4 linked regions of the Struthio camelus genome follow. The protein of the gene in region 1 interacts with the protein of each later gene in a pairwise test. Links are inferred from orthologs where the notes say so. Each region holds a gene or a part of one and is shown on either strand. Other genes may lie near its edges. The genes, in order: MTUS2, NTAQ1, LMO4 and NDOR1.

The links.
Region 2: the proteins of MTUS2 (region 1) and NTAQ1 interact in binary tests that used the Homo sapiens proteins (3 or more experiments, as listed by UniProt). The two-hybrid records come from large-scale screens. The link is inferred for Struthio camelus from reciprocal best matches to the Homo sapiens genes MTUS2 and NTAQ1.
Region 3: the proteins of MTUS2 (region 1) and LMO4 interact in binary tests that used the Homo sapiens proteins (3 or more experiments, as listed by UniProt). The link is inferred for Struthio camelus from reciprocal best matches to the Homo sapiens genes MTUS2 and LMO4.
Region 4: the proteins of MTUS2 (region 1) and NDOR1 interact in binary tests that used the Homo sapiens proteins (3 or more experiments, as listed by UniProt). The two-hybrid records come from large-scale screens. The link is inferred for Struthio camelus from reciprocal best matches to the Homo sapiens genes MTUS2 and NDOR1.

Annotation. Positions count from the first base shown.
Region 1 is NC_090942.1:200,185,754-200,193,595, forward strand, and holds the start of MTUS2 (microtubule-associated tumor suppressor candidate 2), read right to left. Parts: upstream 3,012-7,842; 5' UTR 2,818-3,011; intron 1-2,817. UniProt on the Homo sapiens protein: Binds microtubules. Together with MAPRE1 may target the microtubule depolymerase KIF2C to the plus-end of microtubules. May regulate the dynamics of microtubules at their growing distal tip.
Region 2 is NC_090943.1:160,183,831-160,191,494, reverse strand, and holds the start of NTAQ1 (protein N-terminal glutamine amidohydrolase), read right to left. Parts: upstream 3,010-7,664; 5' UTR 2,480-3,009; coding exon 2,298-2,479; intron 2,182-2,297; exon of another isoform or gene 1,922-2,181; coding exon of another isoform or gene 1,848-1,921; intron 1,515-1,847; coding exon 1,415-1,514; intron 1,036-1,414; coding exon 985-1,035; intron 1-984. Other genes in the region: ATAD2 (ATPase family AAA domain-containing protein 2), read left to right, coding at 4,475-4,693. UniProt on the Homo sapiens protein: Mediates the side-chain deamidation of N-terminal glutamine residues to glutamate, an important step in N-end rule pathway of protein degradation.
Region 3 is NC_090949.1:20,631,991-20,639,477, forward strand, and holds the start of LMO4 (LIM domain transcription factor LMO4), read right to left. Parts: upstream 3,007-7,487; 5' UTR 2,873-3,006; exon of another isoform or gene 2,699-2,872; intron 747-2,698; 5' UTR 744-746; coding exon 508-743; intron 1-507. UniProt on the Homo sapiens protein: Transcription cofactor. Plays a role in establishing motor neuron identity, in concert with MNX1, acting, at least in part, to disrupt LDB1-LHX3 complexes thereby negatively modulating interneuron genes in motor neurons.
Region 4 is NC_090961.1:12,913,793-12,921,029, forward strand, and holds the start of NDOR1 (NADPH-dependent diflavin oxidoreductase 1), read right to left. Parts: upstream 3,015-7,237; 5' UTR 2,958-3,014; intron 1,807-2,957; exon of another isoform or gene 1,598-1,806; intron 1,158-1,597; coding exon 1,023-1,157; intron 533-1,022; coding exon 455-532; intron 1-454. Other genes in the region: TMEM203 (transmembrane protein 203), read left to right, coding at 3,317-3,727. UniProt on the Homo sapiens protein: NADPH-dependent reductase which is a central component of the cytosolic iron-sulfur (Fe-S) protein assembly (CIA) machinery.

The sequences.
Region 1 (7,842 bases):
CTGCCCGTTGCCTCTTGTCCTGTTGCACCACGGAGAAGAGACTGGCCCCATCCTCTTGACACCCCCCCCCCTTCAGATACTTGTGCACATTGATCAGATCCCCCCTCAGTCTTCTCCAGGCTGAACAGGCCCAGCTCTCTCAGCCTTTCTTCATAGGAGAGATGCTCCAGTCCCCTAATCGTCTTTGTAGACTCCAACTCAGGGTCCATTTCCCCTCCCTCCGTACTGTTGCTGAGTTTTCAAGCAAATATCTTTATTCAGATGTCCATTATAATGCTTGGATCTTTCCACCTCCAGAATTTTCTATCAAATGTAAAAACAACCACTGTATGAGCTGTTTAAATTAGTTTTTTCCTCATTCTCTATTGTGCTTTTCTTCATTTCATCTACCATTTTGTTAGAGTCAACATTTCAGACCTTGCAATTCTGTCCTGTGATGATTTCTGATGTAACCTCCATTAACTTACAAATTAATAAATGTACAATAAAAAATCCAAATTTTTGGCTTCTAAACTTTTAAAATGCCAGAAGACTACTACTCACTGAGTAGTGTATCTCCTGTACAGCCTATGATGTGCTGTTGTGCTTTACAGAACCTGGAGAATTGCACTTCTGTGTCAGGTTAAATACAGCAGAAGTGTTGCAAGCTCTCCTCTCTCCACTATACTGCTAAATATCAAGTACTGCTTACCATACTATAGATGTGTTTTGTATAGAAATATACTTCAGATATATTTAGGCCAAGAGGCTTAAGCTATCTTCATGTGTATTACAATCACTAATACAATAGATAACATCCTACAAAAAAAAACTTTGCTATATTAGAAGCCTTGTTGTAAAGGTAAGCTAGCTTTGTATCTGACCCAAACCTACATCTGTCATTTTCAACATCTGAAATAAATCTAGATTAGTCACCAAATCTCTACTTCTGTCCCTGAAGAGATGAATATACAGAAAATAAGTGATAGCATGTCAAAAACTACTTCATACAAACCACATGAGCTCAAGCCTTGCAAATCCTTTCTCACCCTCCTGGTCTCAGGTAGAGACTTCCAAACTCTGAGAATGGATCATTCAAAGAATCACTTACAGAACCAGCTTTTGCACATTGATTCTGTAGGGTCACAAGATAAAGCAAAAAAGTGAGAAATGAAGCCCTGTCTTCATGCACATAGCTTAGTGCTACCACTCTCCTGCACCACAGACTGTACTGCTCTCCTTACCAGACTGCAGAGATGGAAGGAGACAAGTAGTGAGGTATATTTAATTGCAATGCAAAAGGACAGTCTAGTAAAGCTTATGCAGGAGGAGATACAGAAAAGCCACACCCCTGCTTCAAGTTGGGGGTGAGAAAATAAAACCCATAAACACTACATAGTGAAAAGAGCATAAAACAATTTCCATATGATATTACAAATGAAAACAAGGCATTTATGCATTATGTTATAACCAGTTCAGTTGGCTGCCAAGTACATCTCTAATGCAGTCATCCATTGCAAACTAATAACCTGTATGCCAACACTTGACATTTAATTATTTGCTACTGCTACTTTAGTATCAGTAAGTATTTCTAATGCTTGGCTTGCTGAGAATTTTTTTTGTTCTTCAAAGTTTTTAATACAGTAATAAATGGCAAGGGTCTTGCTGGCTTGCCCTTTTCATGTTTGGAGTGATCCAGAATTGCTGGCTGCCCAACCCAGGTGCCCTTTGGGAACACATGCTGACCTGGAGGGGGCAGGCACAGAGCACCCCCATGCTGTTGCTGCCTCCAGGAGGAGACATCAACCAGGGAAGGAGGAAGAAGCAGAAGCAAAAGTAGGAGAGATCAAGAGGCAGGAAAGTATTAAAGGCTCTGAGATCCACCTAAAAAGGGTTGGAAACTACCAATCTAGATGAACAGCTTTTCAAGCAGGGGTGTTTTATCTGAGTAGGGAGACCTGTGCCCACTGTCCTATCTTCCATGGGTTTGTTCTTTCCTTTCCTACTGAAGTTATATGCCAGTTCATAATTTACAGTAGCTGCTTTGTTATCTTTCATCATTCTTAAGAAAGAACAATGAAGTGCTATTTAACTCCATGAAAGGGGCAGAGTTTAACTGCAGTTTTAGCACTCTAGGCCAGCTGAGTGCTGTAAACTCAATACTTGCACTGAGCTCTCCACTTTCATCAACTGGAGAGTGCACAGCCCAAGCCAGAGGTCCCCAGCCCACTCCAGCACCCAGCTCCTTACCAGTCTCTACCTGATGCTGCACAGAGAGCAATGCCTACACCAGCCATTCCACTTATTACTTTCCTCAGAACTTTTGGCCAAATAGATTTGATAATATATATATGAGAGCATTTTAATAAGTAGGTTTCACACTATTATTTTACCATCTCAACACATGCCCTCACCACCGGTAGCAACGACCAGCAGCCCACAAACCTTCCTTGCTTTCAGCATTAGCATTTCCAAGCGGTGCAGCCAGAGCAGCCTGCGTTTCAAAGTACTTTCCGCCAATTTCCCTGCGCGGTGCTTCCCACGCAGAAGGCAGCACCGGGCACAGACGCCCGCATACCGGAGCGACCCCCGGGGCCGCGCCTGTGCCCGGCTCCCCCCAGCACCGCCCGGGGCCGGGCCGCAGCAGCGCCCCGGGCTGCGGCAGGGCTTTCCCGAGGGGACAGCAACCCCAAACCGGGGTCAGCGCCCCGCCCGCGCAGGGCGAGGAGGAAGAAGAGCTCCGGGCGCTGCGGGCTGGAGGCGCGGGGCACCCCGGACGGCAGGGCAGCGGAGCGGGGCGCTGCGGCTGCACGGGGGACGGCGGTGCACGGCGCTCACCTGGCTCGGCTCCGCGCCGCTGCTGCTGCTGCTGCTGCTGCTGCTGCTCCCTCCTCCCGCGTCCGTCCGCGGACAAAGGCTGCAGCAGACGCCCGCGCTGCGCAACGGCGGCAGCGGCAGCAGCGCGGGGCTGCGGGCGGGTGTTATATAGCGGCGCGGGGCGCAGCCGCCGCGCAGCGCCCGCCGCCGCCCGCGCCCACCTCCCGCCGCCGCGGGCCGAGCCGCAGCGCCCCCTGCCGGACCGCGCGGGAGCTGCGCGGCGGCGGGGCCTGCGCGGCCGCCCCCGGGGGTGGTCGCTCGGGCACCCCCCCGGCCCTCGGCTCCGGCGCCGCATGCCCTCCGCCGAGGGCGACGCTGCGGGAAAACTCCGCTTCTCAGACATTGCTTTGCTTTGGTTTGTTTTTTCCTGCTTCCGTAAAGTGCTTAGAAATTTAGGAAAGCCGCAACACTAGGAGACTGAGTGAAACGGTGACCACGGGAGAGCCGAGGTGAGCACCTGACAGGGAAAAACATGTCATGTGCGCACGCTGCCACTCTGTCCGCACGAGCAGATGAATCCCTGAAGGCATGCTTGACTGGGTGGGCTAACGGCACACCAGACGAGGCGTGCAAGCACGCAGAGGAGCACAGAGCTGCCAGAGCGAGTGCAGCCAAGGGCTGCTCAGATGATGAAGGAAACGGAGCAGCTCTCTTATGAGGAAAGGCTGAGAGAGCTGGGACTTTCCAACCTGGAGAAGAGAAGACTTAGGGGGGGATCTAATTAATGTGTACAAGTATCTAAAGGGGGGGATGTCGAGAGGATGCAGCCAGGCTCTTCTCCGAGGTGCCCAGAGACAGGACAAGAGGCAACGGGCAGAAACTGAACCACAGGCAGTTCCATCTGAACATGAGGAAAAACTTCTTTCCTGTGAGGGTGACAGAGCGCTGGCGCAGGTTGCCCAGAGAGGTAGTGGAGTCTCCTTCGCTGGAGATATTCAAAACCCGTCTGGATGTGATCCTGGGCAATACGCTCTAGAGGAGCCTGCTGGAGCAGGGAGGTTGGACTAGATGATCTCCAGAGGTCCCTTCCAACCTCAACTGTTTTGTGATTCTGTGTGATTCTGTAGTATTTATTTAAGCAGAATGGGATGCTTTGTGCTGTACAAAGCAGAAATAGAGCATCATTCCCCCAAAGGAACCTGTAACATGAGACACACACACCAAGATACAGATTAATTTAAATAATACGTATACATATAATACTTAGTGAACATTTAAAAACGAATGCATTTATAAGACATTTCTGTTTGTATCTCTTTGACCATTTTCTTGATAATTACCATAATCACGTGTGTAAATTAACATTCTGCAAACAAATAGGTGGTTTATGGAGGATTATTTAACAGGGACGTTAGTTCTTAGCCTTCCAAGCTTTCTAGGTAAAACGGGGCTCCATATGCTTTCGTTTCCTAGAGTTTAGAATATAGGTTCATGTCAGAGTCTGCCAGGGAAGTTGTAATGGTGTTTCAAATGGCATCAGGCAGAGATGAGATTTACTCATGGCAAAGCTTTCTGTTCCTTGTCTGGCTGCTCTCCAGTTCTTCTCTCCTTCTGCAAGTTTGTTTCTCTTTCACTTTCAAATGAACAGGAATTAAATAAATAAATAGATAGAGGAACAAATCTGCTCTTCTGCAAAACTTATAACTCAAATAATAATCTCCCTCACTTTTGCTATGCTTAAACCTATCCCCAGGGTTTTTACTCCCATTAGGGGACTAAGCTTTGTGAGGCAGAGTATCTTAGTTTTAAGTTTAAAACCTTATATAAATATATAGCCTGCATTATAGCCATCTGTGTGACTTTTATTATATTCCTGTGCTCATTGTTTCAATCAGCTGTTAAGATCAGCAGCAGGCATTAGATCAGATGGGAGTTTTATGATCTGTATCTAATGCTGGGCAACTCAATTAATTTTTACAAAGTCCTCTGGGCAAATCCACAAAGGCCTGTTCAGAAGGAAGCAGTGGACTGGTTCCCAGTACATGAGGCAGTCCGCCGATGCCACATGATACCCTCCCGTCTGCGAGCGGCACTGGTGCCCTGCAGAGACTGGGGTGGGGGGGGCCAGAGAACAGCAAGGAGCCCATGACCTCCCATGAGGAAGCACAAGGCAGCATGTTTCTGGCACCCTGGTGAGACCTGGGCAGCAGTGGTCACGGTCTGCCTCCGACCTGGCATATTGGCCCTTGCTTTTTGGTGTATCATCCTGCAAAAAATTCCCATACACAGTGCCCATCTGATGAGGCTGTTGTTAGGGGTCTCATAGCACAGCACAGTCAGTGTCACAGGATATATCCGCATTTCCTATGGGCACAATAGCTTCCTTATTTCTGCCTATGGATTGGTGCTCGAACACACTGTGCTTGCATCTGCCTACAGTCTGAAGTGCCAAGTACCATCCATGTGGCATGATAAGGGAGAGTCTCTTATCCTTAAAGGACCTTTCCTTAAGGTTTGTCTTCCCTGCTGAAAAAAAGCTGTATTCTCCCCTCCCTCCGGTGACTAAATGATATGCATGAGTTAAAAAGACAGCGAAGATAAAGCATCTTAGTTGGTAAACTCACTGAGAACGTCCCCACGGCTGGCATAAACGAGGACTCTGACGAGACAGGCACTGGCAGGTTTAGCTGTGGTGGTTTATGGCATTAAACCCTCTGCTGTCAGCTCTGCGGGAGGCTCCCAGCCTCCACCGGGGCAGGCAGAACAGAAGACAAGCCTTCACCTCAGAATATTATTCATGTTAAAACCCTGAATTTATCTATGGCCAAAATAGTGGGGGGAGGTCTCAGAAAATGAACCGCATCTAGGCTAAGCACTGCGCGCTCCCTCTCTGGTCAGTGCAGGGAAACGGGCACGTCTAGGGTGTAAATCTTTTCTCCCCAGCGTAGGCACTGAAATTAGCTCAGAAGTATCCATTTCCCTAAAGTGAGGTGAGGGCAATCCCTGCGTTTTTCACCTGAGAGCTAACTAGGTAATGAGGGTTTGGTTCCTCCAGCAGTGTACTCCAGTTCTTCAGACTGCCTGAAATATCATCTATGGTGAGTCGATGGAGTTTGTTTTCTTCATCAGTGGCTGTACCTAATAAAGATGTAATCACTGAAAAGCATCTGGCTCTGGAGAAATCTCACTATTCATAACATACCCTCCCTGCTTTCGTAGCAGAAAGGGAACGCTCGCTCCAGCCCAGCTGCGTGGCCCCCTTGCAGCTCCCTTGGCATGCGTGCTCCCCTCTGTTGGGACCAGACGCACTCATGCTGCCTGTTACAGAAGTGACCCCTGCACCTACCCGGCACTTCAGTCACTGATCTTCAGGAAGCCCCAATCCCACTTGTCATCTCCAAAGGCATTACTGTGTAATTGGTGATGATGGGGGCTTACCGAGGAAGACTTTCACTGTCCTCCTGTTACATTAGTACTTGAAAGGACCCACTGGCTATACCAAAAGAGCTGAGGCTATATCACAATAGCTGAGGAAGCCCAGATTGACCCAAAATGTTAATCAAACTGCCAAGACCATTCATTGTTATATGAAAAACAAATGCATGCCCTGCATTGAGTTTCTTCCCTTAATAGAACATTTTAGCAGTCAATTATCACTCAGAGCAGTTGACTTCTGATCGCTGAGCTGTTGTGCTCTAAAAGGCAATTCATGCTATTATCACACCTAATTAAAATCTACTTAGCTGTAGAATGTGGCCTCTGCTTTTATTTTTAGATCCTGTGCAGAGGTGAAATTGCTGTAGATAATTCATATAAGCTTGTTTTTCTTAAACATATGGAAGAGAGTGAATAGATATGTAACCTATACATGTGTATAGTGAAATATTTCATATGTGACTCCTCCAAAGAAGATATGACGATGCTGGTTACACTAGAAAGAAAACAAAAAAATGATGAGAAACTGAAGCAGGAGATGACTTTTATAAATGAAGGCAGAGCAATTTTAAGCACAGTTTCAAACCTAAACCACTTTGTTGATGCGTTTTAACATAAGCTCCTACAGCTACAGAGAGGTGGCAGAATAGCCTCACACATAGACCTGGAAATATAACCGAGTGAGGAGCCAAGGGAATACACCCCAGTGAGGATCCCGCAGCCAGAGCGGGGACGGTCTGCCTGTGTGTGTGCAGCTTGAAAGTGGGACTGGGCAACCACATACCATCGCCACGACATGATATGAGTGCCCTCTGCGTAGCCCTGTGCCAGCGGCGAAGGCACCGAGGGCCCCCTAAGTCACCCCTCCCCATCAGAAGGGCAGGACGAGAGGCACGGTGGACTCTGCCCTGGCTCTGCACCCAGGTTTCGTCCCATGTGCTGAAATAAGCACCAAGACACCTTCCCAGTGCTTCGCAGACTCTAGCTTCCCTCCTGCCCGCCCCAGTGCCTGCAAGAGCTACCTCGCTTCATGCCATCAAACACCATTCTTGTGGGCTGCAGCACAGCTATTCTTTATTTTTTATAGCAGAAATAAATCAAAAACAAAAGAAGAAGAAAAACACATACGCATTAACAACAAGGTCTTATTGTCTACAGTGCCTCCAGATGGGAGACCAGGGTTGAGCACTACGTAACACGGATATAGCCAGTCTGTGCCATTCAGCCTCGGGATCAGACAGCGGGCCCTGGCTCTGTTTACTGAGCAGTAAAGACAGAGCGGTGACACCAGAAGGCTGCACAAGGCTTATTTCTCCGCAGAAATAAGCAAGGGGTAAAATCAGTGTTCAGTTTTCTAGATTACTGGGGAAGAATGCAAGTCAACAAAAAAAAATACCACGCACACGGCACAGTTTGATTAGGCTGTAATGTCATGTTAAGGCTACTAGCTCCAGAAGACTTTTTGGAGGTTTCTGTCCCAGGGAGGACACAGCCCAGACCTGCAGGAAGGAGGGTGGGCAGAGCTGCACCACGGTCCCCGCACTTCAGTGGGGAGGGCTGGAGCCACCGCATGCGGGGCCCGGCACAAGCGGGACAAGACCCGGTGTCACC
Region 2 (7,664 bases), on another chromosome or scaffold:
TAATAAAAATGAGCTTGAAGCTGTGAAAATTCTGCAAGCTATTAAAACATCAAAGGAAAAATAGCTTTCAAGCTATACATTTAAATGGGAAATTAACATTTTGCAGCGGCCTCTCCTGACTCTCCTATCTCCTATTTCATCATAGGTCTGCTTCATAACATTTCGGGCCTCTTTTTAAACTAAACCTTTTTTTGCTTTATAAGTATACCAACGTCTTGGGAGTCTGCTAAACCATTTGAAGAGTAATTCATTCTCTCCCAAGTACTTTGTCACTTTTTCCCAAACAAATCCTTCCCATTCTTGTGTGATAAGTGTCACATCTCTAAAAGTGTTGGGATCTGTAGCATAAATTCCAACTTAATCTTCATTTCCTGAAACACAGAAATCACCACACCAAACTAGAAGAATGTTTTTTCAGTACTGGGTAACTGAAAGAACTCTGTAATGATCCACATTTAAAAGGAATTCTATAATGGCAATTACTAAACTACTGAATTACTGTTCATTGCAAATGACGTTCTAAAGCCAGCACTTGCAGTAAATTTACATGCAGACTCCTGAAGACATGTATTGCTTGTCTTTTTCTATGCTATGTCAAGCGTATGTAGATATTTTCATTCATCTACGTCTTAAAAGAATATACATCTATTTCTTAAAATTCTACAAAGTTGGTGGCTTCAGAAGTATATACACAGTAATTTTCACAGATTTGTTATGCATTCTTACCAATGTTTGCCATGCGTCAATTTTACTGACTGCTTCATTGTTACTGCACTACAGGCAGTGAAAGAGAGAGCCAGACTTACAATGTTTACGTATCCGTTGTAGAAGAAGAATAAATACTAGTATTGTGTTGTTAATATAGAACTGCAGTTTGTTAAAGATATGGCTAACACTGCCCATGTCTGATTTTGCAGACGCCAATTAGGGAAGCATATATTAACAAAACCCTAAAAAGAACACAAAAAGCACAAAATACTTTACCCAGACGACAGGATCATCTCCACGTCCCGATTTTTGCTTCCATAGGGGAATCTGAAAGTCATAAAATACTTTGACTGAAGATTAACACAAGTAGTAGTTTGCCAGCGAACCCATTTCATTAGCTTACATCTGTCCTGCAACGAGAAAAAACTTGCCCAGTGTCGCTCTTTTAGCGGCACTAAGCTGCAGATAGTGTTCTGGACCACGTAACGTACTCATTCTCCTAAACCAGGAGGTTACAGGGAAGATGCATTGCATTTTGGGTTGCCCCAAAACGCATCGGATAGCCATGGGATCGATCGCCTGTGCGGCGGCCTGCAGGTCCCGCACGGGGGGGACACCGCACAGGGGGACCCCGGGGCCTTTCTGGCTGCAGGGCCGAGGCCGGAGCTGCTCCACGGCTGCCTTTAACCACGACGCGCCGACTCACCATCCTCCTGTCATTGGATATGAAGACAGCGTAAAACTCTTCCAGAGGGTATTGATCCCGACTCCTGATGTAGTCGCACAGCTTCCAAACGTTTTCTTCGCTGTAAAAGACAAGGGTTGGTTTGGGGGTTTTGTTTTGTTTGTCCCCTCTCCTGCTCGCAGTCTCGTTTCTAGTAAGGAGCGCTAAGCCAAGCACTGATGTCTGCCGAAAGCCTCCCGGCTCGGGCTCGGGTCTCCCGCCTGCCTGCAGCGCGGCCCGCGGCCCCGACGGCGCCCCCCGCCTCCCTTCCTCCGTGATGCTACGCAAAACCTCCAAGCTGGTTTTGCTTCTTCTTCTTCTTCTTTTTTTTTTTTTTAAACAAAAGGCCGAGCCCGGGGCTGCCGCTCGGCTCTGCGGCGCGGGGAGCACCGCGGCGGCGGCCGCCCCCCCTTACCAGTAGCAGCTGGTGTAGGCGCAGGCGGGCCGGGGGGGCACCGCCGCCTCATAAGCGGCCGCCGGCCGCGCCATGGGCGGCCTTAGCCGGCCGCAGCGGTGCTCTGGCGGGGCGGCGGCGCAGCATGGCCGGCGGCACGGCGCGGCTCAGGAAGTGCTGGCGGCAGCGGCGGCGGGGGAGTTACCGGCTATGGCTTCCGCGAGGAAACGCGGCTGCTCGGCAGCGAGGGGGCGGCCGGCCGGCCCGCGCCGGTAGGGAAAGCGCCCTACCGCCGCCATCTTAGCGCCCCCCCGCAGGGCGCTTCCCGCCGAGCCGGGAATAACGGGCGTAACATGGCGGGCAGGCCCCCGGGAGCGGTAAAAGCGAGTGTCAGGCGAGAGCAAGAGGGGATTTTTATCGTCCTGGGGGCTGGCAGGGAGCACAGACAGGGTCGCGGCTGCCTGAACTCACCAGATAAACGTTAATGCTGGATGCAGGTGCTTGGTGTGGCCTTCTGTCCCCTTTTTGGCTGCAAGTGGAAAGGGGTTTTTGAACAACAGGCTGACCTTGGAGGCTGGTGGGTGGCAGTCTGGCCTACCGAGGAGCTCCTCGTGCTTTTCTGTCCTGTGCCAGGGGTATGTGGATGTTTTCATCCCTCTGCTCCTTGCAAATACAAAGCTCTTGCGTCCAAGGCAAGTAGAAAAACTGAGAAACACTCAGGGGTTGCTTAAAGTGGGGCAAAATGGGTCAGCCTTTCATGAAACGTTCATGTGACAGCTTTGGGGGAGTGCTGGAAACAGGTAACGCTTAGAAATGGGGAGAGCCAAAAAGGCAGAAGCAAGGGAGCTTGCTGGCATCACTGCCTCTGCCTGCATGGACTGACTGTGTAAGTACTGCTAACGCCTTTGACCCAGCGAAGGGAATTTTCCTGTGCCCAAATGCATAGCGGCCCTCTCTCTGCTGTTTTGTGCTTTGGATCTTGCCTAAGCACAGGTGATTCCTGCAAAACATCTGTTCTGCAAAATACAAGTTGACGTTAATAGGAGGGCTCCTACAGGGAGGAGGGAAAGTGAGAGAAGTAACTTGCTGTTTGCAGGGTAACAAAGCAAGCGCACCTCCCCAGTGCGTTTTGAGTCTTCAGGTTACTTGATCCATTTCTGTTTTCTGCTGTTTCAGGTGCAGCTTCTGTACAGTGCATGTTTTTCAGGCACGCTCGGACCACCTCGAGCTTCTGCAACGTCTTTTTGTGCCGGTGAATGGCCTGAACATACACTGCTTTTTGCTCTATTAGACCCTGTGCACTGCCGAATGTCAGCTTTTGTTCTCTGCTTACAAAACACTTCTGTGCAGATAAGCCTAGGGTGATTCACCCAGTAGGTGAAGATAATGCTGTCTCCAGGGAAGGTGCCGGAAAGCTTGAGGTTTTGAGGTTTGATTCGTATTTTGTTAGCATTTTTTTTCTTTTCCAAACATGATGCTCCTGAAAAGCTGTCTTCGTGTGATAATCTCTCATTCTGATGAAAAAACTCTGGTGTAGAAGGTTTTAATAACTGGAAGTCAGTTATCATCTCTGTACCAACCAATTAGAAAGCAAACGTGCATGCATTTTAAAGCAAATATGTGGAAGAAAACACTTCTTTACTGTGGGGGTGGTCAAACACTGGGGTGTGTTGCCCAGAGAGATTGCGGGGTCTCCATCTTTGGAGACGGTCAGAAGCTGACTGGACGCAGCCCTGGGTGACCTGCGCTAGGTGACCCTGCTTGAGCAGGGGGCTGGACTGCAGACTCCAGAGGTGCTCTGCAACCTCAGCTGTTCTGTGCATTTTGGTATTGAATGATTGCCTTAAGCCTTTACTGTTGTTTTTTTTTTTTCCTTTAGTAGGAGGAGGAAAACAAAATGGGGGCGTTTTCCCTGTTAAATACAACTTCAGCATTGACAGTTTGGAGTAACACTGGCTTTGGATATGTGGTAGGCCATGTAGCGCTGCCCTGCCCTACTAGGGTCCCAAAGAGTTAGGGACCGGAGTTTCCTAAACTAGGAACCTGCAGTCATCCTACGGCTTTTCCAGGGAGATCTTTGAGCGTGTCGGAACAGAAAACCCGAGGTCGGGCCAGGGGCGCTGCAGCCGTCCGCCCTGCGCGCCTGAGGTGCGGGCGCCTTTAAGAGACTGCGCTGAGAGAGCCGGCCTTCCCCGCCCCCGCCCGGCGGGAAGCAGCGGCGGCGGGGGGGGGCGGGCCCCGCGCGCGCCTCCCAGCCAATCGGGCTCCGGCAAAACAACCTGCTTCGACTTTCACGCGCCAAAAATATCAAAAGGCCGCGGCGCGAGCTGTGCCCCTCCGCCATCGGGGCCGGGACTAGCTGCCGGAGAGAAAAGAGGCCGCGGGGAAGGCGGGGCGGAGCGCTCTCCGCCGGGCCAGGCCGGGCTAGGCGGGGGCGGGCAGGGCAGGGGGGCGGTGACGGCGGGGAGCCGCGCTCGCCGGCGGTGCGGCACAGCGGCAGGGAAGGGCAGGGGGGACGCGGCGGAGGGATCCGAGGGGAGGGCGGCGATCGCGGCGGCGCGCGGGCTGTGGCGCCAGAATTCGGAGCGGCGCCGCGCGACCCCAGGGCCGCCTCGCGCCGCGCCCGGCCCGGCCCGGCCCGGCCCGCCATGGTGGTCCTGCGGAGCAGCGGCGCTCAGCGGCCCGGCCCCGCGGCGCGCGACGGCGGCGGCCGCCGCCGCCGCCGCCCGCCCTTCGACCTCATGGACTCCAGCTCCGAGTTCCTCTCCCTGGAGTCTCCCCCGCTCGGCGGCCGCCGCGCCTGGACGCGCTCGGGGGCCGCCCAAGGACCCAAGGGCGCCGGGGGGGCGGCGAGAGCGGCGGAGGAGGTGAGGGCGTGGGCGGAGGGGGGGGGCAGGGCTGGCCGCTGGGGAGGCCTCGGGCTTGGAGCGGGGGCCGCCCCGGTGGAGGTGGCCGTTGGCTGGGCTGAGGCAGCCGCGCGAGCGGGTCCCGGGGCAGGGCCGGGCCGGGGAGGGCGTTGTGCTCGGCAGGCTTTGAACCCGCGGGCGCCATTGAGGCAAAGGGGGCAGTCAAGGCCCCGCCGCTTGCCCGAGTGTGGCCAGGTGGTGCTGTGCGCTCGGCTCTGCGGTGTAGGCCGCAAAGAACACGTCTGCGAGCCTGGGACTGCCTCCTGTGCGTCCCTCCAGAGGTAACCGAGCTTGTCATCCATCCCTCTCTATCGGTGGTAGAAGTAGAGCTCTTCCACTGTGTAGGCAGTATAGAAGCACCGGAGATAGGGGTCTCGTGAACGGGGGAGGGGGGAGGAGGGGAAGAGTACTTAAGGTAAGGTCGTATAACGATTGAGTTGCTGTATATGAAAAAGTTACTCCGTGTCTGCAAAGCCACAATAAGAACTGCTTTTTGCAGCTTCCGAATGCAAAATGTATCAGTTTCGGTCTCTAAAATTGATTTATTTTTGCTTTGAAAGGAGGGGAACTTGATGCAACCCACCGCTGGCCTGGGATACTAGTGATAGCTTGCTAAAAGACAGTAATTTGGTTGCCTGCAGCTGTGTGAACAGGTGTTTTTGCATCCCCTTAGAATTTGGTATGGTGCCTTTATTTCCTATTCCTAGGTTATTTCGATTAAATTTGTTACCTAAAAAATCATCTTGGAAAGAGCTTGGAAATGTTTTTACTTCAAGATCATCGAGGTGAAGTTTATAGGGAGGGTGCTTATTGTTTGGATGGCATACGTGCATCAAATATAATGTTTGACACAAAATATATTTTATTTGTAACTGCACTCGAGCTGAATATCTGAAGTGCCTGTGAGATATGCTCCAATGAAATATATATAGTTACCGCTTTGGATGCTTTTAAAACAAAGCTGTGTTTAAGAATCAGGGTTACTTTGTACTTAATTAAAGTGCTTATTTGCGTAACCTAAAATAGTGAAAATTCTGCTTATTTTTGTTAATAACCTAGGGCAAGATGCTAGGAGAAGAAGTCTCAACGTGCACCATTTTAAACCAGATTAAGTACTCCGTGCTGTCTGCATCTCAGTGTTGCTACTATTCATAAGTGAACAATTTCACTTTGAGAAGTTTATTGCTTTTTAATGTAGCTTTCAAAAGCTGCGAATCTTCCCTGGTCTTTCCAAGTCAGGCTGTTCTCAGTGGGGTATTCCTCATTTCCATGGCAACTAAGGGCAGACCAGGTCTAAGTCAAAACTTTGGTCTGATCTTCAGGGCAGCCCTGCCTTGAAGTGATGCTTGTTGTGCACTCTGTTTCCTTATAGCAGAACTATTCCAGGATTTGTGGTTGGTTTTTTTTTTTGTTTTTTTTTTTTTTTAACGTTTGCTGAGCTAGGAAGGAAGAAATCCTTGGGGTGCTTTTTTCTTTAAGCAGATTCCATATCTGCTTACAAAGATTGCTACTTTGTTTTTGCGGTGTATGCTAAAAATGGTTGTCAAAGACAAGGAATTCTGTTGCAGGTGGGGGAAGGCTACACAGGCAAAGAAAGCAGCTGGCACACGTTTTCAGTACCTGGAGAACAGGAATGAGGAAGTTAAATGTAAACTTTTTACTAAAACCAAAGCAGAATGATTACTGATCATTGCAATTGGTTGTAAGATTTTTCCTTCTTTCCTTTTTTCCCTCCTCTTTTTCATAGACCTTTCCTATGTTTCAAGTTATGGAATCCTTTTTGCTTCCTTTGTAGGTCAGTGAGGCTTTGCTGGAGCGTTCTAATTGCAGAGACAATGTAGGGTTGCCCTAGATGACAAAGATGATGATCCTGGTCTTGGCTGCGTGCTCAAAAGTCTTAATTTATCTTCCTTACTTGTTGATGTGCAAGGACTTGCTGGCAGCAGCTCTTGCAGGTTTTCTGATACCAGGGAGCTATTCAGGTTATTTCACCCGTATGGAGTATGCAGCGTATGGTAGAAAGACTGTTAAACTGAACAAGAATCTGATGGGTTATATTCTCTCCTGTTTCCGGTCCCAAGGAAGATAACAGGTGGCAGTTGTCCCTTTGGAAGCTGTGTATCTACAGGTTTTAACCCTGGTGTAATTACCCGGGCTGAACAATGTTGTACGGTGACCTGTACTTGAGGCCTGTGTGCTCGAGTTCCCTTTTGCCTGAACAAAGCAAAACTTGCACTTGGGCAGGCTGAGTCTTCCTTGACCCCTCTCTGTAGAGACTTCAGCACTAGAGTTCACAGCCTTGTAGCCTAAGCATATTTACGTGATGGCGCTTTGACGTGTAGTTTACTTCCTTAGAGATATGAGATAGCTGCATGCAGTTTTTGTAAGAAGTCTTTTAAAAAGCAATTGTTAATCACTTCATGTGGCACGAGGAAAGTAACAACTACTTTCAAAGTTAGAAATACTTTTCAAAATCCCTTTTTTCAGTTTCCTTATGTTTTAGATTTAGCCTTATTCTTCTATTTGATCTCACTTTTTGAGTGCTCCCCTCCTCTGCCCCCCACCCCCACCCCAGCCTGATCTGGCTGATAAGAGCCTGTTACTATTGCTCTGCTGACAGCCTGCTGGAGTTACTCTGGTGTTCTTGGTGTTTACAACCTCATTGAAATGGGATGCCATCCATATGAATGGAAGACAGTCAGAGTTAGCAATATCCACTGTTTCTGCTTTGGCTGTATCCTTTTAATTTGAGTCAAGATGAAGACAGCACAGAAGATAAATATAACAAGTAATTGTATTGTGGACAGAGACTTAATTTAAAAAAAAAAAAATAACAACACACAGAAAGTCATTATACTGCTTTATCTAACCTGTATGGTGACGTCTTCCGAGTGTTCATTCTTCCTTTTAACTGGGCTTTGGCCCGGAGGTT
Region 3 (7,487 bases), on another chromosome or scaffold:
CTCAAAGGAGTTTAAAGGTGCTTATGTAAATATCATAATTAATCAGATACTAAAGGCAGGCATTTCATTATGTAGCACCTCTGCCACAGCCTTATTTAAGCCCTACGATTTTAACATTTACCGTTCAGATATGCACGCTTCTCCTTCAACACTACAACAAAGCAGATTAATTTAGCCTCTCTGATTGCTGTTTATTTTTAGTTAGGACTTGTTTTGTGCTGACAAACCACTTTAAAGTTACAGTCGTCGTTCCGCCTGCCCCCCCTCCTTCCCTCCGCTTGGCAGCCACAACTGCGCCCGGGGCGAGGAGCGAACGGGGCTCCCCGGGCTGGCGCGGCCCCCGCTGCCCGGGCAGGGCCGACCCGGACCCGGGCACGCTGCTGCCCCGCGCCGCCGCCACTGGCCCGGCTGCCTCCTGCCTCCACGGAAGCCACGAGGCGGGGGGGGGGGGGGGAAGCTTTGCCCGGCTGCCTGCCCGGACGCCCCCCCCCCCCCGCCCGCGCTCACCTGATGTAGTCGTTTCTGCAGAGGATCATGCCGCTCTTGGTGTAGCAGGACGTGCCGATGTCCCCGAGCTGGGCCTGGCAGCAGGAGCACTTGAGGCAGCGGCTGTGCCAGTAGCTGTCCATGGCGTAGAGCAGGAAGCGGTCGGCGATCTTCCCCCCGCAGCCGGCGCACCTCTTCCACGAGAGGGAGCCCGCCGTCACCGGGGGCGGCTGCGAGCTGCCGCCGGGGTTCACCATGGCCTGCGGGAGAGGCGCGGGAGGGAGGCGGGTCAGGGCGGCGGCGGCCGGCGGCGGCGGGGCGGGGGGCGCCGCGCCTCGGCACCTCGCGGGGCGGCGCGGCCCCGCTCCGCGCTGCTGCCTCCGCAGCTGCACTCGGCGAGTTAGGAACAGTCCCGGGTTTTGTTTTGCTCAGAGAAAAAAAAAAAAAAAAAGTATGTGAGGGGCGGGGGGGGGAAAGAAAAAAAAAAAGTTGTGAAACTGGTTTTTCAGTCTAGGAGAGACTCTCCAGGCGGGGTAACGAGGGGCTCGGAACCGGCTGTCCAGACGTCGAGGTTTGGGGTTTTGGGGTTTTTTTTTTTTTTTTTTGAGATACAGAAAACACCCAGAGAAAACACTCCAGACCGAGGACGCTGGCCCGAATAACAGATCATTGAACTTTAGGACGCCTGTTAACTTCCTATACAAACATACTCAACTTTTGTCTCGCTAATCTGCCCTTGATCAGCAATTTAAACGCTAAAGCTTTGTTACTCAAAAAAAAAAAAAGTTTAGTGACCATAGGAAAGCAGCAGGATAATGAAGTGCACCGCTCAGGCTGCAGTTAGTCTGGCTGCCTCCAAAACTGCTAGTAAGGGCATTTTTCACTTTCTAATAAATGCTTGATGCAAGCAGGACAACTCGGAGATAATATAGGAATCAATTCATAAAGCTTACTCTAAACCGATTAATTTGTTGCCTTCAATCCAGAGTCCAATAAACTCCTGGTGTTCCTCCAGTCACTTATACTATAAAAAGATCAAGTTATTTACTGCCAATTAAGCAGCATGTTTTGTCTTTGTCCTTTGTAAGCCGTGTGTGCTCATACCGAGGCATCCGGCTGGCTGCGGAGGACGCTCGGGCTGATACCTCCGGAGCAGCGAGGCGAACTTTCCTGCCACCGGCCCAACTCGGCTCCAGCAGAGCGAGAACTCAGGCCGATTTTAAACACACATTTCCTCAGAAAGAGTTCCTGAAGGTACGTCCAGTGACCGCACAATAAACCAGCAGAACTGCACCAATTAAGCTGTAACAAAAACCCCGAGACTTTGGAAAGAAAACCACTCTAAAAGCCATTAGCATTGCATTTATCCGAACGCATCATATACCTTTATGTAAATTGATTTCTGATGCATTTGTTCAAGGAATTGCCTTTTGTTACAGTTTCCAGCTACAGCCTAAATGAATCTGCATTTCCTGCTCTGAGTCTTTAAACCGTTTCCCTACGCTTTAAATCACTCCGGATTTCTTAAAAGAAAGAAAAAGACTCCATGCTACCACATCACCCCGTCTTTGTCGAAGGCAAATATATATAAAATGGGAAACGTTACACCGAGAAAACCATCCCGTAACCCCATTAAGCTAAAGCTCTTAAGGACAAGCAATACCTTAATGCTGATTAAATCTAAAAAGATGAATCAAGAGGACTGACCAGAAAGTGACTCCCTTGATAACTAAGGACGGGCCCTCATCAAGTTTCATTTAGAGTTGGGGGGAAAAAAGCTTTTAACTTAAATAGGCTTACTCTAGTAATTACACAGCCAAGCAATTTAGGTCCTGGGATAGGAGTCGGTGAAATAGAAAGCAGAGCTCGAAGCTAGAGGCAAAATAACCCCCCCTTTTAACAGCGTCTCTGGTGCTTTTTTAATGGAGACCAAGGGAGGGACAAGCGGAGAGCTGGCAATTTGTAGTACAAAAATGGATGCTTAATTCACGTCTTGGTTTTAATTAGGTGATTCACCGGATTTCTCCTGGATTGAAACAAAAGACCGTGCGGGGGGCAGGAAGGGAACGGGAGAGGGGAGAAATAGAGAGCTCACTTTGATCTTTTCTGCCACTGTTTCAGCACAGTGTTTACTACGGGCGAAGCGGGCGCCCGGCGCTCCCCCCGCCCCTTCCCCTCCGCGCACAACCGCGGCCGGCAGAGCCCGCTCCCCTCCGCGGCTGCGGACAGGGGCAGCAGCCCGAGCCGCCGCCAGGCTTTGTACGCGGGGCCGGCGACAATGCCCGCGGCTCCCCCCGCGCAACGCCGCGCCGCGCCGCTCCGCGCAGCGCGGGACGGGGCCGCGCACGCTGCGATAATACCGCCAGTAATCGCCAGCACTCCTTACCTGCTTCCCCTCTATATTGCAAAAGGCCGGGGAGCAACGCCGCTCGGGGTCACCCAGGAGGTTTCCGTGCCACGAGACAAACCCGCCGCTCGCGCTCTCAGCGGGCTCCGGGAGCGCTGGAGGGGGCCCCCAGCCCGGCAAGTGGCAGCCCAGGCTGGAAAAATATAGATACTGCTACGAGCGGCGTCTGCCTGGGTCCTTCCTCCAGCTCGCACTTCCCGGAGGGGAGCTGCAGAGCTCAGTCCCCGCCGCCGAGCTGCACACGCAGGGCGCCGCCGCCGCTCGCTGCTGCAATCGCCGGGTAAGTTTGGCAATGTGGCTTCACTTTGTATCGCCTCCCCCCCGCCCCCCCCACCACCTCCGCCCCCTCCTCTGGGCGCCGGCGGCTCCCGAGCCTCCCGCAGCGAGGAACCGGCCGGCCGCGGCCCGCCGACGCGCCCCGGAGGAGAGGGCGAGCGGCGAGTTTGAGAGGGGCCGGGCGGGAGCTGCTGCTGCCGGCGATCCTGTGGCGGCGGCGGCGCTGGCAGGACTCAGGAGGAGGCCGCGGTGCGCGCGTGCGTGCGTGCGTGCGTGAGTGAGTGAGCGTGTGTGTGTGTGTGTGTGTGTGAGTGCGCGAGTGTGTCCGTGCGGGCCTGCGCGCCGCGCCGCCCCGCGCTCGCTCTGCCCGCTGCCCCTCACACATGTGTTACTGACAGAGCAGAATCCCAACTACACTCCAGCTCGGCTCCCAGCGTCAGCCCGCCGCAGCCAATCCGCCCCCGGCTTGTTCAGGCGGAATAATAAAACCTGCCAATCCCGGGGAAGACAAAGGAATGACTGAAAGAGGAGGAAAAAAAAAAAGAGCGGAGGGTGGGGAGGAGGGGGCAGAGGAGGAGGGGAATGGAGAGGAAGGAGGGAGTCAGGTGGGAAGCGGTGGCCGCCGCCGCCGCCCGGGCGGGCTGTGGGGAGCGGCGCCCGCGGCCGTTGGGCGGCCGTTAGGGCGCTGCTGGGCGGCCGTTAGGGCGCCGCTCGCCGCCGCCCGACCCGCTCCCGGCCACCACTTGAGAAACTTGCAGGCGAGGGGCCGTGGCGGCTGCCCGTGCCTCGGCCGGCTCCCGGGCGGCGGCGGAGGTGGCGGTGGCCGCTGGAGCCGGTGGCGGAGGCGCGCCCCCGCGCAGGCCCGCGCCCGGGCCCCGGCCTCGGAGACGGGCAGGCGGCCGGCCGGGAGGGAGGGAGGGAGGGAGGGGAGCGTCCAGCTCGTGTTTCGGGTAAAATGGGCCTGGTCAAGCCGCTGACGTTTGAAAATCCACTCGCTGAAACCAGCGGGGAGTTGTGCTTAAAAATGAGTGTCAGTATATACCCCGCTATTATTAGTACCCTATAAAAGATTTAAAAGGGTTAAACCGCTGCAATTGGCTGGCAGTTGGCAGCGCTGCTTGTCATTCGGAAAGACAACTGCATTTCTGGAAAAGAAGCCAAAGCGTGATAGCAAACCAGAAGTAATACTCGGTAGTGACACAGTGGAAAAACATGTAGATATATATATATATTACTCGCACGTTTCTGAGGCCTAAGCAGAGCCCACACGATAAGCAAAACCCAGCACCCTGTAACAACCCCTAGCCCGCTGGAAACAATGGAAGTATCTGCAACGAGAGGGCGGTTGGCCGGTGCTCGCCAGGTCCTGCAGGCCGCCGGGCTGGGCCGGACCGGACCGCTGCAAGGACGGGCCCCCGCCGGGCACGGCCTGCTACCGCGCGCAGGCCTGCCTCCGCCGCGCAGCACGCGCCAGCGGGTCTCGCAGAGCTAACTGCAGCTAAAGAGTCAGTTAAATTACACATTTCCAGGATCCGTTAAACAACACAAAACTTGGTGATGTTAGTTTCTTGATTCCAGACCGCTGACGTAAGGAGCAGCCAACGCAGGGAGAACAGTCGGACTTCACTGTGACTGCAGGAGGGGGCAGGCGGCTGCAGCGTGTTCCCAGGGACTAACGCGGCCGTGCCCGACGGGACAGGGTCATCCTAAATGGGGACGGGTCGCTGCACGGCTCGCCTGGTGCAGTTAACTGCTGTTGTCAACTACCCGTTTTATGGCTGCAGCGTCACTAAATTACGAGTTTGTGTGGGTGCGCTGCCTCTCGATTGCTGAAGGCAACAAAATATTTTAAACCTGCTCCTCTTACAGTCTAGTGTAGAAGCGATGTGCCGGCACAAGTATCTGAAATTCTAGCCAGGGAAATTTATTTACAAATATATGCGTTTGTACTAAGAAGCAGACCAACTTCCCTCTGACAGCCCGACTACTAAATCTTGTCTCTGTAATCAAAATCCAGGTGTACTTTAACCACAGCGCCACCTGTGGGTCTCCTTTATTTCTGCATCCCTGGCCTGCAGGGGACTGAGGAGAAGAGTGCCCAGTAACCAGATAAAATTTATTTAAAATATGTCCAGCTGGGAAAAATGTACCTGGGAAAACGTAGGACATCATAGATGTACTCTGTTTTTATTATATATCCAATAAAATATTAAAATTTGAGTAGCACTATAGGTATGATTTAAATATAGGGGAATACACCATTTCTTTCTCCATAGACAGGGCTATCTGAAGAATCTATACATAAAGTAGACAGGGAGCGCATGGCAAGCTTCCACGAGGGAAGGGGGAAGAGGACCAGCACTGTGGTTAAAAGTAAGTGGTGCATTTTTTTTTATCATATGTCTATGCAATATGTCATCTGGATGTAATCTCCAGATACATATTACATTTAAACATATTCAGCAGTTTCAGATTTGTCATTTAGGATCTGTTACAATTTAAAATATATAAAGTAACAAGACGTGCTACGGATAATCAACTATCACTGTTATTCTAGCTCTCTGACAGCTAAGAGCACAAGAATAGAGCAAACGCCAAGCTAAAACAAAGTCTAAGCTGTCTAATTATTTAAGGCTATAATGGCTGGAAGCTACCAAATTCAGGCTCTGGAAGAACCTTCAGGAGCTCTTCTTATTGGAAGAGATACTCTACCAAGAAACTGCGCCATAGGCACTACAATGTTTACTAGTCTTGCAACTGATAGTGATAAGAAAAATGGGAATTACCTCTTCTGAAGGAGCAGAGTTTTAAATGGCTTAATGACATTTTCCAAATACCATTATAATGTTCATATCTTTTTCTGAAATCTAATCTTCACTAATTTTTGTGATTAATTTTAACAGAGGGAACCTTAACTGAGAGCATTTTGCAGAGCAATATTTTTCTAATTTTTCTTTTGTGCAGCATCTGCTGTTGCTGTGCTGTCATCTTCGTTATGTTTTTCATTGTCTATGTGCCATAATGTAATTAGTTAGTTCAACATCATCTGTGCTATTAGATGAGATGTTTCTATGGTAAGTTAACGTAGTTCTGAGTAATTGGTAGATTTCAGCAGTAGGCACGAATGTATCCATCAACTTTAGGTGTATTTTAGTCCGCAAGATTCAAATTCACTTGGCATACTTCATCCTCAAAGACTGTTAATTTTGGCTGAATGGATAAAAAACACAATGCAGAAGAAAATCTGGCTGCTTATATTGTGGTACTGTTGGAGTCAGGGAGAGGAAAGCATAAAATTGCTGGCTTAGTAGAAAGTTGCAATCTGAAGGTCTGGAAAACGTTTCAGCTTGTGATCCAAATCGTTCTTAAACCTCCACATGCCACTAAGATAGCTGATAGTCCAGAATTCACTGGGGTTCTCTCTCCATTCGTGAAAGGAGTCTTAGTTCTCTCCCCAAATACTGCATTCCTATGGGATCTCAACTGTCTTTTCCTTTTCTCGTTAGAAATGTTGAGGCTGCCACTGTGTTGGGAGAGCTTCCATGTTGCACTTTGCTAGTCTGTGTCTTCCAAACTCTACCTTTTGAACAACCATTTCAACTTTTAACGCAAACCCTCTAGTCTCTTTGGAAGCAGTGATGAAAAATCAACAGCCACTTGTTATTTTAAAATAACACACCCTTTTGCTAGCATAAGATCTTCTGTTTTAGGATCTTAAACAAATTACAAATGTGACTAAGTATTCAAGTGGGCTATCTAATGATATGGGAAAGTGCACATCCCCTGCAAGTTGTGAAGAATTCTGCATGGCTTGACTCTCAGCATTCTTTTTCAAACAGCAGACAGTACTTTTCACCCCAAACAGCAAGATAACTCACTTTTAGAAAAATATGTATAAATTTTGACTTGCTAGTAAACACATGAGTAACATTATTTACAAGAATCCAGTTCCATGGAAGGTAGTTAGGAAGGACAGTTTATTTAGGTAAGAGTTGGTAAGGCCCTTTTATCATCACTGTATCAATAATTTAGTACAGGGGCCAAATCATATAAATGTCAATAATTACAGATACATATTTATATTAACAATGGGGTCTACTTAAGGAAGAGCTAAAGCTATATTTGTAATGACCTCATATAGCTAAAACGTCTATTGGAAGCATTGATATATTACCGTTAGCCATGTGTAGCAGACAGTCCCAAAAGTGAGTTCTGTGACTAAAGTCAGAGATAGCAGAGTTTGAAATTACATATAATTTATGTTTTAAATTAAAAGTCTCTAGAGGCTACTAGAATATGCATATTTAATAAAAAGTTC
Region 4 (7,237 bases), on another chromosome or scaffold:
TTCCACAGGGTCCCTCCTGCCGAGTCCTGACAGGGCAGGGAGCACAGCCTGGCAGCTTCCTCTGCTGAGTATGTCTGTTCAGCCAGTGGCTGTAACCTTAGAGTGCCTTATTCTACAAAAGCAATCCCTGAAGCTAGCTGCTAGTGCTACCTGCCAGAAAGATGATGCCCTGTGAGGTCTCCACAAATCTGAGGCTCTTGCTAAGGCAGGGGCTCCTCTTAGCTGTTAAGCTGCTGAAATCTCACCATCTTTGCTGTTCACATCCCACCAGCAACAGGAGATGCTTCTCAGCCCCACTCAGTGAGCCAGCATCCACCTGACATTACCCTGCAAGGATGACTGGTGTTGTTTCAAAGCCTCCAACTCCAAGAAATCCATAACTGAAGCTGCTCAGGAGTAAATCCAGTCATAGGACCAGATCCATAAAAGCAACATAGACTGGAATGCATCCTACCTTCATGTTGTCAGGTGGGTCGCCCTGGCCCGTGGTTGCACACACAAATACCACCAACAGCTCATTGATGAGGTTCGCCTGTGCACAGACAAGCATAGAAAGGTGCACTCAGGTCAGCAGCCTACAAACATATGCCCCTAGCTAGCCAGACCCAGCTGATCATGTTAGATTCAGTTCATGGACAGACCACGCTTGGCATAAACCCACAGCCCCCGCATGGCACATCCTCCTCTGACAACACTGTACAGTCATCTGCTCCCCACACACACTGCCTGCAGCAAGAGATCGTTGGTGCTCCTTGCCTTGTAGGAAGTGCGCTTGATGAAACACTGGATAAGGCTGGGCATCTGTCATCTAACAGTGATTGTATCCCAAGAGTCACTGCTCAGTTTTCACATTTTCAGCTGAGTTAAGCACAAGCTGCCCTCAGGGAGGACAGAGAGGCATGATCTTATGAAATATAGGAGGTCATAGCAAGGGTGGGAGATGTCTGAGCCCTAGAAATGGGATTGGTAGAGATGGAGCAAGACTAGAACTGCCTGGGGCACCTCTCTGCATCACCACTCACCACATCATAGCTGTCCAGTGCCTCCACTCTGCACTGAAAGTGGCGTCGTTTGGCTTCTCTGCCAATTCTCTCAGCTGTGTCCTGAGCTGTCCCAGTCTGGCTGCCAAAAAGAACGAGGAGAGTCCGTTCTGCCATCTGAAAGAGAAAGTACCAAAGAAATCATCAAGAGGGGACTTAAGGCAAGGTAAGGGAAGGTAACGCTGGACTTCTCTCTGCTCTGGGCTAGCAGTCACCCTGAAACCTACCCAGGCTTCAAAGGAGTTCTGGTAGCTTTTTAATCAAGTGTACTTTGGGGGAAAGACACTGCATACTTTGGCAAACAGCAAGGACGGAGATAGTCTAATAGTTCAATGAAAAGGTCAGGATTCAAGCCTCCTGGGCTCTCTTTCCATCCTCAGAGAGCACTGAGTAGGTGACACCCTCTTCACCCAGCATCCTTGTCTGTAGGAGCAGGAGTGACAGTACTTGGACAGTCCTTGTCCTTGCTGCCAGGGCAAAGGGAGGGGGATGAGTTGGGGGTATAAAATCCAAGGACAGTGTTTCACATTCTAGCTCATTTTAGCTGGCCTCCCCACCTGCGGTCAGTACATCCTTGGAATCAGTCTTCAGGTTTCCCATTTTAACACATCTGTTTCCCCTAATGCCATGAGACCTGACAGCCGAGGAGGGGAGGCAGGCAGGAGCAGAGCCTGGGAGCTCAGTTTGACTAGACACGGTGCTCTCAACTGCAGGAGAAGACGCCTCCTGTGCTGCTCTCACCCAGCAACAAGGGGCCTAGGTATTACTGGAAATCACAGCACAGAGGAAATTCAACCCAGCAGGATGCCAGAGCCGCAAATTTACCGCACCCCTACGGGGAATGTGTACCACTTCCAGAAAAGCTGCTGATAAAAACTAAGGAGGGGACACTACTGGCCTTTCTACGGACCAATTCCTGCAGAGGGGCTGCAGCTCCAAGGGACCTTCCCCTTGCCCAGAGCCGAATGGATTTTTCCAGAAGAGCTGGCACATCCTATGTGCCCTTCTGGACATGCACACTGCTCGCTCAGCTCCAGGAACAGAACTGCTTTTCCCTGTGCACGTCTCTGCCACAACCGCCCACTGAGGAGAGGCAGGTCCCCCATCACCCCAGCTTCAGGGTCCCTCGGGGCGCTGCCCTTCGCAGCGGGAGGCAGACCCTACCGCCAACAAGCAGCGCCCGCAGGGGCCCGAGCCAGCTCCCAGCCCTGGGGGGAGGGAGGCCACCCTGCATGGGGGACCTCTGCCACAGGGTGACCGCCCCGGTCTGGGGAGCCCCGGGGTCTTCGGTGGGCAGCATCGGCCACCGCTCACCCAGCCTGGGGGCTCCTGAGGGCCAAGGGGGCTGGAGAAGGGGCACCTGTGGGAGGGGGGAACACCCTAGGGGAGGGAAAACCTCAGGGGGGCACCGAGGGAAGGGGGAGACGCCCCAGGGAGGGGGGGCACCGAGGGAAGGGGGGGCGCCCCGGGGGGGGGAACTGAGGGAAGGGGGAGACGCCCCAGGGAGGGGGGGCACCGAGGGAAGGGGGGGCGCCCCGGGGGGGGGAACTGAGGGAAGAAGGGGGCGCCCCGGGGAAGGGGCACCGAAGGAAGGGGGGCACCGAGGGAAGAGGGGGCGCCCCGGGGGGGGGCACCGAGGGAAGGGGCGCCCCGGGGGGGGGCACCCCGGTGCCGATCCCTGCGAGCGGAGAGGCGGTGGTTGCCGGGGAGGGACAGCGAGGACCGGGGAAGGCCCGGCGGGGCCCCAGCAGCGACTCCCAAAGCACCGCACCACCCGGCCAGGCGGCTCCGGGACGGGACGGGACGGGACGGGGCGGGGCGCCCGGCCCGGCTCGGCTCGGCTCGGCTCGGCTCGGCCCGGCCCGGCCCGGCCCGGCTCGGCTCGGCCCGGCCCGGCCCCGGGGCCGCGGCACCCACCGTGCGCCCGGCATCGCCGCCTCCGCTTCCGCCGACGTCATCAGCCGCCGCCGGGGCTGGCGCGACCTGCCGGCGGGGCGGCGGCTGATGGGCGGCGCGGGCGCGGGTGCGGGTGCGCGGCGGCGGCGGCGGGGCCTGGAGGGCCGGCTCGGGGACCTAAGGCCGGGGGCTGGGTCAGGGGCCGGGGCTGGGCCGGGACCGCGCCGGGGGCGGCGGGGTGGGTCGGAGGCCGGGCCGGGCCGGGGTTGCAGGGCCGGGCCCGGGCTGCGGGGTGCTGACGGCATGACGGGCTGACGCTGTCCCCCCGGCAGGGCCCGTGTGCCCGCGGTGGCGGTGGGCCAGGCCGGGCCCCCGGGAAGATGCTGTTTTCCCTGCGTGAGCTGGTGCAATGGCTGGGCTTTGCCACCTTCGAGATCTTCCTGCACCTCCTGGCTCTCCTGGTCTTCTCCGTGCTTCTCGTCCTGAAGGTGGACAGCGAAGGCTCGATGCTCTCCTGGTGGACTGTGTTCATCCCCTTCTTCGCCGCCGACGGCCTCAGCACTTACTTCACCACCATTGTCTCCGTGCGGCTCTTCCAGGACGGAGAGAAGCGCCTGGCCGTGCTGCGCCTCTTCTGGATCCTCACCATCCTGAGCCTGAAGTTTGTTTTTGAGATGCTCCTGTGTCAGAAGCTGGTGGAGCACACCCGGGAGCTCTGGTATGGGCTCATCATGTCACCCGTCTTCATCCTCCTCCAGCTGCTCATGATCCGAGCCTGCCGGGTGAACTGATACCGAGGGAAAGGCTCCCAAATGACTGCCTCTTACCCTGGATAGAGCTTTGCCTGAGCCACCAGGGAGCCCTGAGCTCCAAGTTTGCTAAGTTGGGCTTTTGCCCTTTTTTTGTTTTTGTACAGAGTGATATTGGTTGTTAGGTTATGCAGGTCTGGTGTTATGAGAAGAGAGTTTGTAATCAACCAGATTACGTTATTATGTTGTATAGCTCAGCATTTCTTCAAAAGATCTTTTTTATACAGCGCCATTGATTTCAGGTTCACTCAGCTCTTGATGTTAATGTTAATATATCCTGATATGCAAGCACTGTTTGATATGCCAGTTAATTTAAAATAAAAATGTACAGATAGTGTAGTTTTATTTATACAACTCTTTTTCCCTGGAAAGTATATGTAGTTGAAACTGCTGCCTGGAGAATAAGAATTATTTGGAGGTTAGTTGTTGTAGATATCCTTGTAAAACTCAAATGGCTACTAGCCTTAAACAATGAAGCTGTTATCTTGCTTGCCCTGACCAGTCTGAGGCCATGGTTTTAACAACGTGTTTTCTTCAGCGACAATCCTAGTGTAATGTATTCCCGTTTTTTCCTCTCATTTCCCTGAGCAATACTTCATGCCTTCACATTGCCAGCAAGATTTTCTGTGCGGTTGTACTGTGAGCCAGAGGGCACTGATGTCTATTTTGGAACAGAAGTATATATTTTTTTCTTTGTATTTCAGATCTATTCCCAAAATATAAAGGTGTTGGGAGGGCAAAGTATAAGAGCAGGAGCATGAAGAGCTGCTTCTGAAGGTGGGCTCTCACTGAATCACAGCTTTTGTGTGAAACACTGTCCTCAAATATCTAGAAATGACCCACCGTAAATGGGGGTAGTTTAGTCTTTCTAGGGGAAATAGAGATCAGCAAGTTATTGTTAGGTTCACAACGAACCCCCATTGCAAAAGACACTTTAGTATCATTTAGCTCCGACCGTGAGGATATTCAGGGCTATAGATCTGTCTCTTACCTATCTATGAGACATTGAACGTTACTTTGGTGCCCAGGTCCAGAGGACTGTTCTCCTTTTGACAATGGATTTTAGAGACCTCTGTACTATAATGATGACGACTATCGGAAAACACCTCCCAGCAGTCATGGGCTTCCTTTCCAACCTCAGCAGTGCTCTGTGACCCACCCCTGTCTTTGCCCCATCTACCTAGCTACTGGTATCATCATGTGTTCTCTGCTGCTCTCAGGTTTACATTTCATGGAGATAGGATCTTGAAATGGAGAACTGCTGCATACACCACTCAAGTTCAGGAGATGAGGTGGGATGTAACCAGCAGAGCATGCATTAAGAAAAAGTTGAGAATTGCCACAGTGCGGGACTATATTGTAATCTAACAAAGTCAGGTGCTTTTCAAATTGCATAAAGCAGATTTTCTCTGGCTTCATACCTGAAATCTAGAAAATCTGTAGTTACCTAGCCTCTTGTGTAACTTGTATTTGCTTTTAGCATTTTGGAAGCATGCGGGTAAGAAAGGACCAATTTTCCAAGTTTATTTTTCCAGTGTACTGATTTTATAAACTTGTGGCTGTGAGTTCAGAGCAGATCTCACTGGATATTCCCTTAACAGGTTCTCTCTTGAAAAAGCTATCCACGGTGAGAGGTCTGATGCTTTTCTAAAAATAAAAAAAAAAATAGTAATAATAAAAATCCTAGAGTCCTGGGGAAAAGAGCTGTGTTACAAACTGCCTCATGACCCCTGCACAAGGAGTGCTAGAAACGTTGCTGTGTTGTTAAATGGCATGAACTGCAGGCTTCAAAGCTTGCTGAGGCTTGGGGAAATCTGTGGTCTGACTTACAGGTCAGTCTCCTTTTCACAGCATGTTGAGCAAGAGAATTTTTGCACAGAAAAGAACTTAGAGGAAAAGTTAAGTGACAAATAACACCTTCCCAAGGGGCTGCTCTTGATTTGGAGCTGGAGTAAAAAGTCCTGTTCTTAGTCTTTGTGAGCAGATCCAAGCATGCAGCCTAAGAGGTGGTGTGGCACAGGAAAGCAAATAGCAACAAAGAGCATAATTCCACATAATTTGTCGTCATAATCCAGTAATGCATATCGTTTACTTTTCTGCTGCAGCCATTGGAGATAGTCTGATGGATACTGAATCTAAGCAAAGCTTCACCTCCGTTCGGGTCACATCTGGCTCCAGCTTTGGCCCAGTGACTCTAGATGGCCTATCCTGGCCTGGCATCAGGGTCTGAGGCTGAAAGCACAGCATAGGATCACCCATTTTTCTCCGTCCTGGTGCACCCTTAGGTGGCGCTGGGACCCAAGCGTTAGGTAGGACCTGGCCTCGCAGAAGCTCCTCAGCTCCTGCTTCACTTTGTTATGTGGTTTTCCAGGCTTCAGCACCATCCAGGTGCTGCCATAATGTCCCCATACACTTGTCCGCTCTGTCTGCTGGGAGCCAGCATCTTGCTCACTTGGGTCTAGCTAAAGCAAACCAAGGACACATCATTTGGAAGGAGGGCAGCTGGCTACTCCTTATCCTCTTCCACCTCAGGCCACTGTGACTTCATCCCTGCTGTTGGTGTCCCTGTGCTGCAGCTGTGCCCATGATGTGACAAGTCATTCTGAGTGTACAAGCTGCAGATATTGCATCACCAGCAGCTGCAGAGCTGCTCGTGTGAGCCTGGGGAGGGAGATAGCTGGGGGGTAAGGCCTGTCTGCAATAGGGGGTTGTAGGGGAGCAAGGCTGGGATGATCTGATGGGATTGCCAGTGTCTGCTGAAGGGCACAAAAAATCAGAGCACCAGAGGAGGGATCGTATGATAGGTGAAGGTTGAGGTGAACAGCAGGGAGCAGGAGAAGCAGTAGAGCCTCTGACTCAGGATGTGGCAGTAGCAGAGCTGCTTTAGGGACTACTATTGGACTCTCCCAAAGCTCTCCAGGCACTCAGCTAATTAAATCAAAGATGGGGCAACCTCCTCCCCTCAAAAATTCCAACACTCATCTTTCAGCCTTGGTGCAATGCTTTGCAGAGGAACAGGGGCAGTTTCCTGCTGCTGAGCCATGGCTTGGCTTGCCAGGGACTGTCAGAGCAGGAACAGAGACCTAACCTTACAAACAGCCATGTCACAGGGGTGTGGTGCCCAGGGCTGGCTGGATGCCACTGCTCACCAGGACAGAGGGGGCCAATGCAACATCTACCTGCATTCAGCTTCAGGCTGCCAGCTGCCGAGCTTTCCGGCAGCTCCTCCGGCAATTTGTGGCTATCTTTGGGGACAACCAGGAGCCAACATTTCCCAGCTCTGCTTTTCCAAGGTAAGGCAAGCTCCCAGGTGTGTCTGGGGGACACAAGGGAGGCACAGTCCCAAGCTGTGGCACGTGGGGTGCTGTACTCAACAGGGATGTGAGGGCTGTGTGCGTGGCCAGGGGTGGCAAGGTTTGCCTTGCAGCATGGACCCAGCCCTGCCCCTCTCCCAGGACTCACTCCTTGTGCAAAGGAGTCACTTTTCCCTCT